Linked DNA regions of Neodiprion lecontei. Each later gene encodes a partner of the first gene's protein in a complex. Links are inferred from orthologs where the notes say so. Each region holds a gene or a part of one and is shown in the gene's direction. Other genes may lie near its edges.

Region 1 (5,104 bases):
CATAGTCATAGGGTGATTTTCGAATCTTCCCAGCGTCTCACTCTTCGTCTATTTTCATCTCACTTTAAGTAAGCGCGCGCGCGCGCGTTCGCCTCCTCGGAGCTTTCCGCCGTACCCCTGTCTCACTTTTGGTATCATCTCCGCCTAAAAAGGTAGATTGGACCAGGAACTAACGTAGGCTCCGATTGGTTAGCTCGACCGTCCAATCGTCAGCTTCGTACCAAGCCAGGATCACGTTGCACGCGCTTATATTGGGATGTTCGACAGTTTCCCCCGACAGAACGGCTCTCTAACGTAAGTGCACCACGTCGGTTACTCTGCCATTTCACCCACACATACACGCTAAAATTGAGGAATAGAAAAAATTTATAAAAAAAAAAAAAAAATAAATAAATAAATAATATAAATAAAAAAGAATAATCGCCGACGCGTACTTGATTGAAGAGAGAGAAAAAAAAAATTAAACTACAACAACAACAATAATAATAATAATAATAATAATAATAATTGATACTATTATAATAATAAAAGATAAAAATTTGCTGGAAATATTTTTTTTTATACACACACGCGTAAGCACATCACCACACGTACGCGTATACAAGAATACGAATATATATTCGGCCTCGTTCGAAATTGAAGTAAAAACGATCAAGGAAAATAAATAAGTTAATCATGAAAATAAATAATTGAATACGGCTGGAGGAGTACATGAAAATTAATACAGTGAGAGTGACATCGTCGTACGATAAAAGGGATATTGTACGTGCGTAACGAAATATCAACGATTTGATAAGGACTCTACGGCTGTTCGTCGATTGTTTCGAGTATATAAAAATTAACCCAGGCGAGAATTTCCGAGTAAAATTTCGGTTCTTAAATAAAAAAAACGCAGGAAAGAGAATATTAACCAACTTGATCAAGCAGTAAAAATCAATCTTCAACTTCGGTGAATTAAAAGTTGTCGTATGTTGTGCTCGGGGTACTCGGGAATCGAAGCTGACAAAATCAAATTCCCGAATTTGGATAATGGCAATATTGGAAATAAAAAATACCATAAAAAAAACGAAGTGTGTGTGTGTGCGCGGCCATTTTTCGTATACATGCGAGTACAAGTCTACTCTGTGCGTGTGTGTGTGTGTGTGTGTGTGTGTGTGTGTGTGTGTGTGTGTGTGTGTGTGTGTGTGTGTGTGTGTGTGTGTGTGTGTGTGTGTGTGTGTGTGTATGCGTGTGTGAGTGTGTGAATTGAGATAAACGGGTCCTAAGTCGAAGAGGACGAGGAGCTTAACGATATCCAGATTAACCCCTGAAAGCATCCCATTTCAAACCCTTGTCATATTATATATCCCGAGGGGAAACATTTCTCCGAGTATCTTGTTGCCTATGCAGTATAAATGAGTGTGCGCATGTGCCGATTGTGTTATTTAAAACCTCGGAACGGAATTGCACGTCGTATTATGGAACCGAAGAACTTACGTCAGCGAAGCCTACGGGCCGGGGAACTATTCTTCGGAACTTGACTTATCGCTCTATGATTATCACCTATCAACTCGAAATTCATTTTACGAAGCTCGGCTTGGTGATTTGATTAAATACCAATGGTCACGGGTCAATTTTTGAAGATTAATCGAATTGATCTTTCGTTTTTTGATCATCAATATGACTGGATGTATCGCGCTCGAATTGAGAAATGTAACGCGGAAGTTTAAAAGACGCGGTGAAAAGGGGTCTGCTTCGAATTGGTGGTTGGAATTGCTCCAAGGGAGTACAGGACAGCATTCCAAACCGGTCAAACGAGTTGATGCAAAATTAAACGCTCGAAATTTAATTATAACACCCGTGCTTTTCATACGTACTCGATTGTTTTTTATATATTTTTTGAAACCCAAAAACTCGCGCGATAAAACATAGCTGATACGAGTATGATGGCACCGAATGCCAGTTCAATCCAAAAATACTTCCTCAAGAAAAACAGACGCACACTGTTTCACACCCCCGAATACACTTTATCCGTTAACACGTACCCTGTAGCATATATCGTACCTAATCATGGAAGTTGTACAGGATATGTAAGCATGTTACGTGTGATCTCGCAGGGCCGACCAGACCGTGCCGCAAGAAGTAGTCCGTCCGCCGCCGCTCGCCAAACACGCACGAAACTGACGACTGCTTAGTGAAAAAGTAGAAAAACAAAAACGCCCCAAATTAATTAAGGGACATCTGTAACAGCGAATAAAAAAAAAAAGAGGAAAACAAGATGCCGAAGCCAATAAAGCAGGAGGGGGAGGACCCCGACCCAACCCCATACCTCTTCGTGTCCCTCGAGCAGAAGAGAATCGACCAGACGAAGCCCTACGACGCGAAGAAGGCATGCTGGGTACCCTGCGAAAAGGAGGGATACGTCCTGGGAGAGATCAAGGCCACCAAGGGCGACGTCGTTTCCGTATCTCTGCCTGGCGGCGAGGTGTGTAATCAGATAATCGAAACAACACCTATCCCCGAATCCCGTTTCCCTTCCACACGCGTCAAGAAGGAAGTAAAAAGTCGTTCGAATACTCAAACGCGTTCGAAACTCCGCGTGCCGTCGTACTTGGAAGAAAGTTTATGTTTTCTTTTTTTTTTGTTTTTGTCTCATTGAAAGCGCATTGTTTTTCCCCGTTTACCTCGCCTAAAACGGCAGTCCGGACAGCCGGTAACAAAATCCGTAGTACGTAGCCTTACGCTATTAATAAGCCATACGCGGTTCAACTGTTATCGAAACACGCAATGGCTGCCGCGTTCCGTAACCGTCGATTCGGGGTGTCATTTTTCGCACCCCCTACGCAAGCTCCGAACGTCTATATCCGCTTTCTTGTATTGAGGGAGGACGTCGGCGGCAGGGGGGAGGGGGGGAGGGGGGTGTGGGTCATACGCTATATATAAAAAGCAGAAGGCAGTGAGGGACGCTAGGCGTCGGCGTCGCCGTATCGGGCTCCTCGAGCTCTATTTCAAGAACAGAATAGCCCGCGGGACTAACGAAGCTCTGCCCTGGCCAACGGCCATACGCAGGGCACTCGTATTTGCTTACGCGTTTATATAAATCGGTTGCCGAGTAGACCGAAACCATTGCGCCACAGCTGAATGCGACGATCGACGGACCGACGAAAAGATGTTTACGATGCTTATAGATCTTAGGTAGGAGGATAATCAGAGCTTCCGGTAAACTAGGGACAACGGTGGCCTCGGTGGTCCGCGTCGATCCGTTCCGATTCTTTGAATCTTCGACGAACGCCGTTGAAAACACACAGTTTTTTATTTATAGCAACATCCTAAATTCCTTACGTGAAAGTAGATATATGGGTTACGCAATATATGGTTCAGCAAACCCTACGTTCCGATGCTCCGCGCTATTGTTAGCCCGAAGACTAGGGGAGAGCGAGAAACCCGGACGAGAGGAACGGGATGACGAGATGATCGTTAACAGGGGAGGAGGGCTGACTCAACCGGCGGCTTTTACTACTCACTTGCACGAGAACTATAAATGAGCCCCTCGATCGGCTCCGTTTCTCTCCTTCTCTCTCACTCTCTCTCTCTCTCTCTCTCTCTCTCTCTCTCTCTCTCTCTCTCTCTCTCTCTCTCTCTCTCTCTCTCTTTCTCGCTCTCTCTCTCTCTCTTTCTTGCAGCATTGCCGTAATGTGCTGGCCGGGTATTTTTAGACCCCCGCGACACTGGATAGCCTTACGCAATGACCGCGCGAATATTCACGCGATCAACGAAACCGACTCGCAGATGTTCAAGACCAATTACAACATTGACGTTACCAGGTTCGCGGAATGCCTCGGGATCTCTTTGGATAAGATTAGTCATGCCGTGAGCTGGAAACTCGACGCGTATTATCCTATGGATCTTCTTGATCTTTCAATGATGCGAAACGTCGTAGCCTTACGGAGTAATGGTAGGACTTACCTGACCATTCCAATGTCATTGATAATAAAAGAACGACCGTTGACCGCACGCAGACGAAACAGTTTCGCAAGGAGCAAGTGGCCCAAGTGAATCCTCCGAAATTCGAGAAGTCCGAAGACATGGCTGACCTGACCTTCCTGAACGAGGCGTCGGTCCTTCACAACCTGAAACAACGATATTACAACAAAATGATATACGTAAGTTGTTAAGATTCGAGAACCAACTAACGGAGTTTCGTTTCTCCCCCCATGGAATATAGACTAAGGACTTCAAGAAGGACCAGCTGCAGCAGGTTAACCCACCTAAGTATGAGAAGGCCGAGGATATGTCGAACTTGACATACCTCAACGACGCTTCGGTGCTGCACAACTTGAAGCAACGTTACTACCACAAGCTGATCTACGTAAGGAATCCAAGCCGTGGAACCGGGCACTCTTGTCGAAGTTTTCCGAATGATTCACATTTCACTTTGCTTCCTCACCTTGCCCTCTTTTGCATTCTTATCGCTCGTTACCGAGGATCCGGCCAAAGCACCGAACGTGTCTCGCCGTTCTTTTAACATCCTTACCAGTCGTTTCAGCAGCATGCGGCCAAAGCCGAGGGAGGATCCGGTCGAAAGCACAGTGACGTGCCCGTACCGTATTTCCCATGACGATTTCTTGTCTTTCACATTTTATAGAGTCCAAGGGCGTCGGGGAGTCGTGGAATCAACAGACTTGACCACCTCTCTATGACCAGACCTGAATTTCGTTTTATGCCCAACTAATAAACCCATAATCACGTCACCGAAATTTTCGGTGACGCGCTGTAAGATGCGTTTCCACGGGACAACCGCGATCACTTGAAAAAATACGAAATGCTTTAGACTCCCAATCAATAACACCGTGAAAACGCAACTTATCATACCCAAAGATTGCAAGAAACGTGTATATAAACTTGAGCGATACACGCCATGATTGATTGTGAGAATTTTTTGCTTATACCCACATTAACGTTTGTTACGTTCTTTTTTTTCTTATCGCCAAACGCAGACCTACTCTGGCCTGTTCTGTGTGGCCATCAATCCTTACAAGAGGTACCCGGTCTACACTCAGCGTTGTGCCAAATTGTACCGTGGTAAGAGGCGTAGCGAAGTGCCACCCCACATTTTCGCCATCTC
Region 2 (7,900 bases), on another chromosome or scaffold:
GAGCTGGAAGAGAATGGCGGAGCTAAGGGAAGTTCGCCTATTCACGGAGACAGGGAAGGCATAGCGACGTGGGAAGAATCGGAAGAAAAATTCATACGAATAATCGATGGACCAGGGTACGACAGAGATTCCGGTTTCCATTTAGAAGACCAGGAAGAGCAGCTTGATCAACACTCCTTGGAGATCGGCGAGGCGACCGATTCTCAAAACGAGAAGCTTGAGGCTTCTTTGTCTCACGGTCGGCATGTTTTCATTCAAGAAGAGCCAATTTCGCCTGAGGAAAATTTCACCCAGCCTAGGGATCTTTTGGACAATTGCACGGAAGAAGAACCTTACTGGTGCACAGCTGGGTTGATTACAGCTGTTGCCACGCCTCCGATCCACAGAGTTTTTACCAGCAGAACTACAATTATTGGAACCGAATCCAGGACGTCAGCTATCGAGCACACGCTCCAGGGAAAGACAACGGAAGCCTCCGTCATCGAGTCGGTTTCCGTTGCTGAAAATGGTGAGGACGAGTTCCAAGATAAACGTGCACGCTCCGAGGGAAAATTAAAGAAGAAAAAATCATTTGGACAAAAATTGAGGAAGTTTTTCTCAAGATTTAAACGGGATAAAGACTCCTAAGCCTTAATCATTCGTGCGTGGATGTTTCTTTTTTTGTTAAAGAATACAATTATTTGTCTAGTAATTTTTTGCTAAATACTTTGATGACCAAACCCACGCACACGTTGAACGTTGAGTTACTTTTGTGAAACTCGCGAAGATCGCGGCATAACTTTGAAAAACAGGTACAAATTTTCTCAATTTAAAGTTTCACCGGCTTCTGTAACAGCGGTGAAACTTTTCGTAGTGCGTGATTTGTGGCACAAATTGTACACGGATGATCTGATACACGTAGAGTAAAGTGTGTATTGTACGATGTTGTGTAAAAATAAAACATTTCAATAGAACCACGCAGGTATTCTTATTATATTTTTTCAATACATCGGTACGCTCGTATACACGCATTTTGTACTGTATTATATAATACAGACTGTCTGAAATGGAATAGCGATAGTCTGACTATACAAATATTAATAGAACTTCTTTAGTGTAATCTCATGGGTTATAGATATTCGACTGAGAAAACTGAACCCCGACTTACTATCATATTTGAAAAAACTCTGTGGAAGTGTACATATTTTTGTTCACTAATTGCAAAAATGAAGAATCGTTATAATTTTACTGGTAAAATTGCCGTTTTTAATTCTTATCACAGTGGCCCTGATACTTCAACTGAAATTTTATTTTACGGCATCCCGACTCTTGCGTAATCTTCCGTGCAATATGCGAATCACTAGAGTGAGTCATTCCGAAACTGAATTACGTAGTAATATTCAATTACTTGAACAATGGTCAACAATACAATTATGAAATCGAAAGGCGAGACTTGAAATGGATGTCTGCATTTTTTTCCGATAATTTACAAGTGTCTAATCGCACAGTCGTTCGCCATAGTCGGAAAATTCCGTCAGGGGTAATATTCATTTGAAGTACGGGAGTGCTCGATGGGGGCTCCAAGTATTTTGAGTCGAGATAATCCGGGAGCTGAAAATCATGAAGGAGAACGGACCTGGCAACCCTGACACTAAAATACAATAGTTAAAAACCATTTATCGTAACGCGTAACACAGTTTCGGCTCTGAGTCGGTAAACTCTTTTCGGAATGCCACGTTGCCAAAGTTAGATACAGAGACGTTTTTGAGGCGAGATCTTTACGATTCTCATATGTCGGTCCGTCGGAGCGCCATCTGTATTAATAAAATGAATCCGCACGGTGCCTCCTGGTCCCACTTCTGGTTCAAACTTCGTTCAGGGAACATCCAGGAGCCGTCACACATACCAAACAGCAATGGTGAGTAGGACTTCTGATGAGGAGATCCGTTTTAAGCCTCAGATTTATAACAACGTTCGCATTTGAATACCGAATGAATAATAATTTCGTCACGAATATTAAACTAACGTTTTATCGCCCAAAGAAAGACGTATCCTCATCCGCATGCAAAATTATTTTAATTACCCGCTATAATACCGAATATCGAATATTAAATTAATTAACTTGAGCATTCAAATTTCGGATACAACAAAGTTGTACATTGTCATCGGAAATGAACTCTGCATGAGGTGATAATTGTGGAAAAAATAGGTGACTCGTCATAAGTTCATTGCAATCGCATAAAATGGTCTTCGGTTATAAACCCAATACTTTTTCTTTATTTACAGGCTGATCTCAGCTCAAAGGACGTCGAAAGTGAGTAAATTCATCTGCACGTACATACCGAAACACATTATACACACACTTTCACTTAGATCTTTTTTTCAAAACATGATATGAAAGACATAAAAAAAGAGAGAAAAGGAAGAGTAAAATCAGACCAAAGTTAGGAGAAAAAGAAGTGACGACGGTCCAATCAAATTTCGCTCCCTCTATTCTGGAAAGTGTTTTCTATCACCAGCGGGAATCGTGTCATACAGTGATTAAAAAACGTATTAAAATTGTTTAGCGATTACAATGTCCAACCTGCATCGATAACACAGGTAAAAAATCATTTGACAACGACCTGAGATCGATAATCGAAACGTCACCTAACCCGGAAAATAAATCTAAAAAGTCGACCAAGTGATTGAAAAGTTCTAAAGTGAAATGGAAAAAAATAAAATAAAAAACAATAAACAAAATAAACGAATGATTGATAAAATTGGTTCTTCGTAACGTGATTGAAATAAAAATAGTTGTAATCACGAAAATTAGAAATAATAATAATAATAATAATAATAATATCAAAATTGCAAATAAAAATCGCGACGTTATATTACAAATGTAAGAGGTATTTCGGTTAGTTTGAAATTTTCAAATTGATGTATTTAATCGCGAGAAAAATGCTGAAAATTCATACACTACCTACAGAGATTACGCAATAGATGGTTGGTACACATAATTGGTGAACATCGGGGTGCCCGGATTCTGTTCTAATTAGGGAACGCGTGGTGTACACGAACGCCGAAAATAGTTCGGGTGCTGTTCTTATATGGCCGGGGGGAAACTTGAGCCAGGCGGAGGCTCCTGTTCGCACGAGGTTCCGATACTCGAGTCTAAACATAGGCATTCGATGTTTTCGAACGAGCTCTGCCAATGAATTAATATAACTTATAGAACGCTCTCCGCAAGCGTTGGACCTCGATTTCTATATTTTTTTCCTAAAAATTATCGCCAAATTAAACGCGCATGCGGGAACGAAATAATTAACCGAGTATACGAAAGCAGACTTTTGGGGAAGAGCAGCGGCTATGGAAACGCTGGAAACGGTTTTGGGCGATAATGGTCACAGGGCCTGTTCCATATTACGTGGCACCCAGTTTCAGTTCTATAAATAACAATTTTACAGAGGTGCTTTGAATACTTGTGAATATAGTCCGATGCGTAGGTTTCGCGTGTCTGACCCTCGGTTATAAGACAAAATATGTATTTTTATCGTTTTCTCAAAATCTCAGGCCTGTCGGATAGACGAATCTGTATAAAACGATCCGCGTCGCGGTGATTTTGTATTACGAGTTGAACTTTTATAGACGTCCTGAGATAGATCTTCGATAGTTTTCTAACGGTAGAGGAATTTTTTTAATAAATCCGTCATTACGGTGAATCTGCATTTGTGCATCTAACATCGACATTTTGCACACTTGAAATAGAAAGTTCATACATTTAGCTGAGACAAACAAAAAAGGAAGAAACTTGAGAAACTTTCGTCAAAAACAGCATGATGAAGAAGTTGTAAACAGAAAAAGTCTACTCTGGCAATTCTTTACACAAATATTGTCCGTGTGAGAAAACATTTCCGACTTATAATTATTAAAAATTATGAATATTTCGGTTTTCTTTTCTTTTTTTTTTTAAGTTTATGGGAAGTGAATAATGTTTCAAATAAGCCGCAACGATCTTGAATATGGGCGTTTGAAAAAAAGACGCGACAATAATAAACATTTAGGGTTGAATAAAATGTGGGATAATTTCAGGGGCGGAATTCGCATTCTCCATCTATGATTTCACCGGTGAAAATACCATCGACGCTGTCGATCTGGGAAATGTTCTCCGTGCCCTGAACCTCAACCCGACGAATGCAACGATCGAGAAAATGGGAGGAACCAAGAAGAAGGGAGAGAAGCTGTTCAAGCTCGACGAATTCCTGCCCATCTTCAGCCAGGTCAAGAAGGACAAGGACCAGGGCTGCTACGAGGACTTCCTTGAGTGTCTCAAGCTCTACGACAAAGCTGAGAACGGCACCATGCTTGCCGCTGAGCTTTCCCACATACTCCTCACCCTTGGTGCGTTCATAGATTTTTCACGCACCGATGAAAACTTAATTTTTGTAGTAACTAGAAAATCGTATTGAAATGGGTATCGTTAAAATAACAGTTTCAATATTGTTGCAATTGAAAGAAAATTTCGTACAAATAACCGTGTAATGTGATCGAGAGGGTTGGAAATTCCGAATTTGAAAAGTTCTGATAGCACCAAATTCCGAATTTATTGGTGAGGAAACTTGAACTAAAGAAATCAAGCTTTTACGAAACATCGACGTTTCGAATGGTTCGAAAGCCGACGCTCGAAATTCCGAAAGTGCAAAGTTCTGAAAGAGCAGAATTTCAAAAGGACAAAATGCCGAAAGAGTATAACTCCGACAAGTTAAAGTTCCGAAAGTGCGAAAATGAGAAAATTTAACAATCTGACATACCGAAATTCCGAATGATCGAAGATTTTCAGTCAAGTGAATTTCCGGCTTGGTAAAATTTCACCAATTTAATCTCTCTTTGTTTTGGATCTTCGATATTTTTACATTCGGAATCCTGGTCATTTTCATTTACGGTCTTTCTGATTTCTTTCACCCGCTCGTTGAGTAAACTGCGTTGTGTGGGTATGTTTTAATTTTCGGAATGTTACTCTTTGTTTTGAAACTTTGTTTTTCCGAAATATTCGCTATCGGAACTTTACTTTTCGAAACTTACATCTGCCTTAAGTTGAATTTTCGGAATCTGGCACTTCGGAACTTTGAGCCGTCGGGTTTCCGACCATTTGAAACTTTGTTGTTTCTTCAAAGTTTGCATTTCTTCGCCTCAAGTTTCGCCACCAAATAATTTGGAATTAGGCACTTTCGGATCTTTTCAAATTTGGAACTTCAACCCCGCCCCAATATAATTATAACAAGGCAGCACTACATTTCTCGCGTTATTGCAACTTTGAGTGTGATTACTTAGTTTACTATACATATTTGTTCGGTTAAATTAGGCCTGGACATCGTTGCTTGACAATATATGGTGAAAGTGACGATAATGAACAAGGATAGTAACACGTACTAGATTTTCTAGTTTACATATTTCGTCTAGTTTATACATAAATATTGAAGATGGTTAAAAACTGATGTACTCACGACTAAAAATTTAATTCGACGACAGTTTTATTGCGTTTCAAATTACCGGGAAAATCAAGTTATTTATCAAAATATATTTACGAACACAGGTGAACGTCTCAACGATGCCGAAACCGAGGAAGTACTCAGGGACTGCATGGACCCCGAAGATGAGGATGGTTTCATCCCTTACGCCCGTAAGTTATCTCGAAAGAACAGCACCACATCCCCTTACGTGTTTCACAATTTAGTAAAATGAATCCAACATTTTTGAAAGACCCTACTCTACCTTTGAATTGAACCGTAGAACACCAGCACGTGAACAGCAATTACCCACCGCCCCGATTGTAAATGACAAATATCAGCGATAGACATTTGAAGTGAAAATTTGATGAAAAAAATAATCTATTTTGTACGCAGATTAGAGTAAATTAGACGTATTATACATAGTTGAAAATGGATTATCCAGTTTGGATGATAACTGATATGTTTGCGAGAGTAAATACTTGCTTTTTCTTTTACACCCCCGTATCCCCCCTAAAACGACCCTTTACGAATTTGACGAGGAATAACGTACACACAGAAAAATTTCATTTGTTATGGTAACTAGAAAAATTCGGTAAAACAGGTATCGTTGCAAAAACTGTTTGAATATTGTTGGAATTACGAAAAACGAGGTCCGCGTAACCATTTTGCGCTATCGTTGATCCTTTTTTGGTTATTGCAACGCAAAATCAGTTTCTTCGGTTTACTCTACTTTTTTAATTAAATAATGCTTTAACGTCAATTTATTGTTGCACGAGCATTAAATTTTCGCAACAGTTGCAAGATAATATAGCAACAATGATCGTAATGAGAAAAAATAGTAACGGATAATAGACTTTCCGGTAACAGCTAAAAAATTAATTTTCATTTTCTACCTAGAACTATATTTTTCGACTGTGGTAAAAAATGAAAACAGTTAAGGACTGAGAGGTAACCGGAACTAAAAATTTCTCTCAGTGTAGAATTCTTCGCTGCAATAATGAGAATGACGAGTATGTAACGACCCTGATTAGATCCTGTAGGTATCCCTGTGTTTCATGTTCCCCTTCGTGGTTATTTTTCAGCATTCCTGAAGAAGCTGATGGTTTAAAATCAAGGAGCCACCACCAACCATGAATCGTGAGTAAACCCCGTCCTGATTTCCTCACATTTTTATCTTACATGTCTTCCTTTTTTGTATTACTTCTTACACAGCTTTACATGTACGCATTTTCCTTTCTCTCTCTCTCTCTCTCTCTCTGTATATATATATATATATGTATGTATGTATATATGTATATAGCTAATATCACCAGAGTCCGTCGCCTGGAAGATTCTCGCAGCACAGTGAATAACAATTCTGTCGTTTGTTTCATCGTAATATTTACAATGCTTATTTTATTTTTAATACGTATATTTTATATTCTTTTAACTAAGCAATGTGTAATTGTATTTTTATTCGCTTAGCAATGTCTGAAACTAAAATTTGGTCCTTCGAAAATTTGCGAACGTGCATTCTCTATTCTATGTTACAACGCTGCCGATTCGGCTACTGTTTACTATATTTGTTTACAATAATCAAACATGTCAATACTTAGCTGTGTAGCTTTACTTGCGTAAAAATGTTTTGCGTCAAATTGGAGTTTGTTACATTTGAATCAGCTCCAATGTATCATTATTTTTTCACTTCGTCTCTTCCTGCTTACGTATACGCTTTTCTTGGCATCGCTGTGAAACGAAAATATATCAGAATTTAATACATGTACAGATTGAGTATATTTCAATTCAAGCATAGCATCTATACGTGGATACGCGATAAATTTTATAATTATTCAGCGTTACGCAAGAGTATAAACCGATCTCAATTATAGCCTGAAATTGTTGGGTGATCAAATACATTTTTTTTTTTTTGTCTTTAGCTAAATTTAAATTAACTGCACGCTACAGTCAAATATAACGATGTTTCAGCTTCAATGAATATAATGATAAAAATCGCATAATGTTATAACTCTGCTATTAAATGTGATTGTAATTTTGGTGCTTATGTTCGATGTTTTTGATACAGTTTTCTTTCGCAATTGCAGCGTTCCTTCGTAGAATGTGTGACAGAGCAGCTGTCGACAACACCCCCGACCAATAAAGACCGAACGTCGTCAAATCCATCGCAAATTGACGTGGTAAAAGAGAAATACAAAATTTAAACGAAAACAAACATAAAAGGAGGAAGAATATGGTTAAAAATTGAATTAAAACGAATGATATCACACAACGAAATTACAGCAATTTTATATAATATTTTACACGCGCATAGTAATTATATTTTAAAGACGAACAAATTAGCGAAGGACAAAAACCCCAAGATTCGTCAAGGTGATTAAATTTCACCCGATCTTTGAGAACACGGATCGTTAAATGTCATCATCAACAATTTC

Evidence for each region.
Region 2: the proteins of myosin heavy chain, muscle (region 1) and myosin light chain 1 are in contact, whole or in part, in a crystal structure (PDB 5W1A), measured with the Drosophila melanogaster proteins. The link is inferred for Neodiprion lecontei from reciprocal best matches to the Drosophila melanogaster genes Mhc and Mlc1. Residues at the interface, in NP_723999.1 of Drosophila melanogaster: Arg25, Ile26, Ser29, Asp718, Lys720, Met721, Arg722, Gln724, Ile725, Pro728, Arg776, Leu780, Gly781, Ile783, Met784, Ser785, Trp786, Met787, Gln788, Ala789, Trp790, Ala791, Arg792, Gly793, Tyr794, Leu795, Ser796, Arg797, Lys798, Phe800; in NP_001287569.1 of Drosophila melanogaster: Phe14, Val15, Val18, Met19, Asp33, Arg36, Ala37, Asn39, Leu40, Asn41, Pro42, Thr43, Leu44, Glu78, Gln79, Gly80, Cys81, Asp84, Phe85, Glu87, Cys88, Leu89, Lys90, Leu91, Tyr92, Asp93, Lys94, Glu96, Ala103, Glu104.

What each region holds. Positions count from the first base shown.
Region 1 is NC_060264.1:2,629,488-2,634,591, forward strand, and holds the start of myosin heavy chain, muscle, read left to right. Parts: upstream 1-2,071; 5' UTR 2,072-2,257; coding exon 2,258-2,464; intron 2,465-3,998; coding exon 3,999-4,142; intron 4,143-4,204; coding exon of another isoform or gene 4,205-4,348; intron 4,349-4,976; coding exon 4,977-5,104. UniProt on the Drosophila melanogaster protein: Muscle contraction.
Region 2 is NC_060260.1:11,421,290-11,429,189, forward strand, and holds the start of myosin light chain 1, read left to right. Parts: upstream 1-1,772; 5' UTR 1,773-1,894; coding exon 1,895-1,897; intron 1,898-2,265; coding exon 2,266-2,293; intron 2,294-4,053; coding exon 4,054-4,362; intron 4,363-5,554; coding exon 5,555-5,641; intron 5,642-6,553; coding exon of another isoform or gene 6,554-6,579; exon of another isoform or gene 6,580-6,608; intron 6,609-7,164; exon of another isoform or gene 7,165-7,196; intron 7,197-7,552; coding exon 7,553-7,608; 3' UTR 7,609-7,900.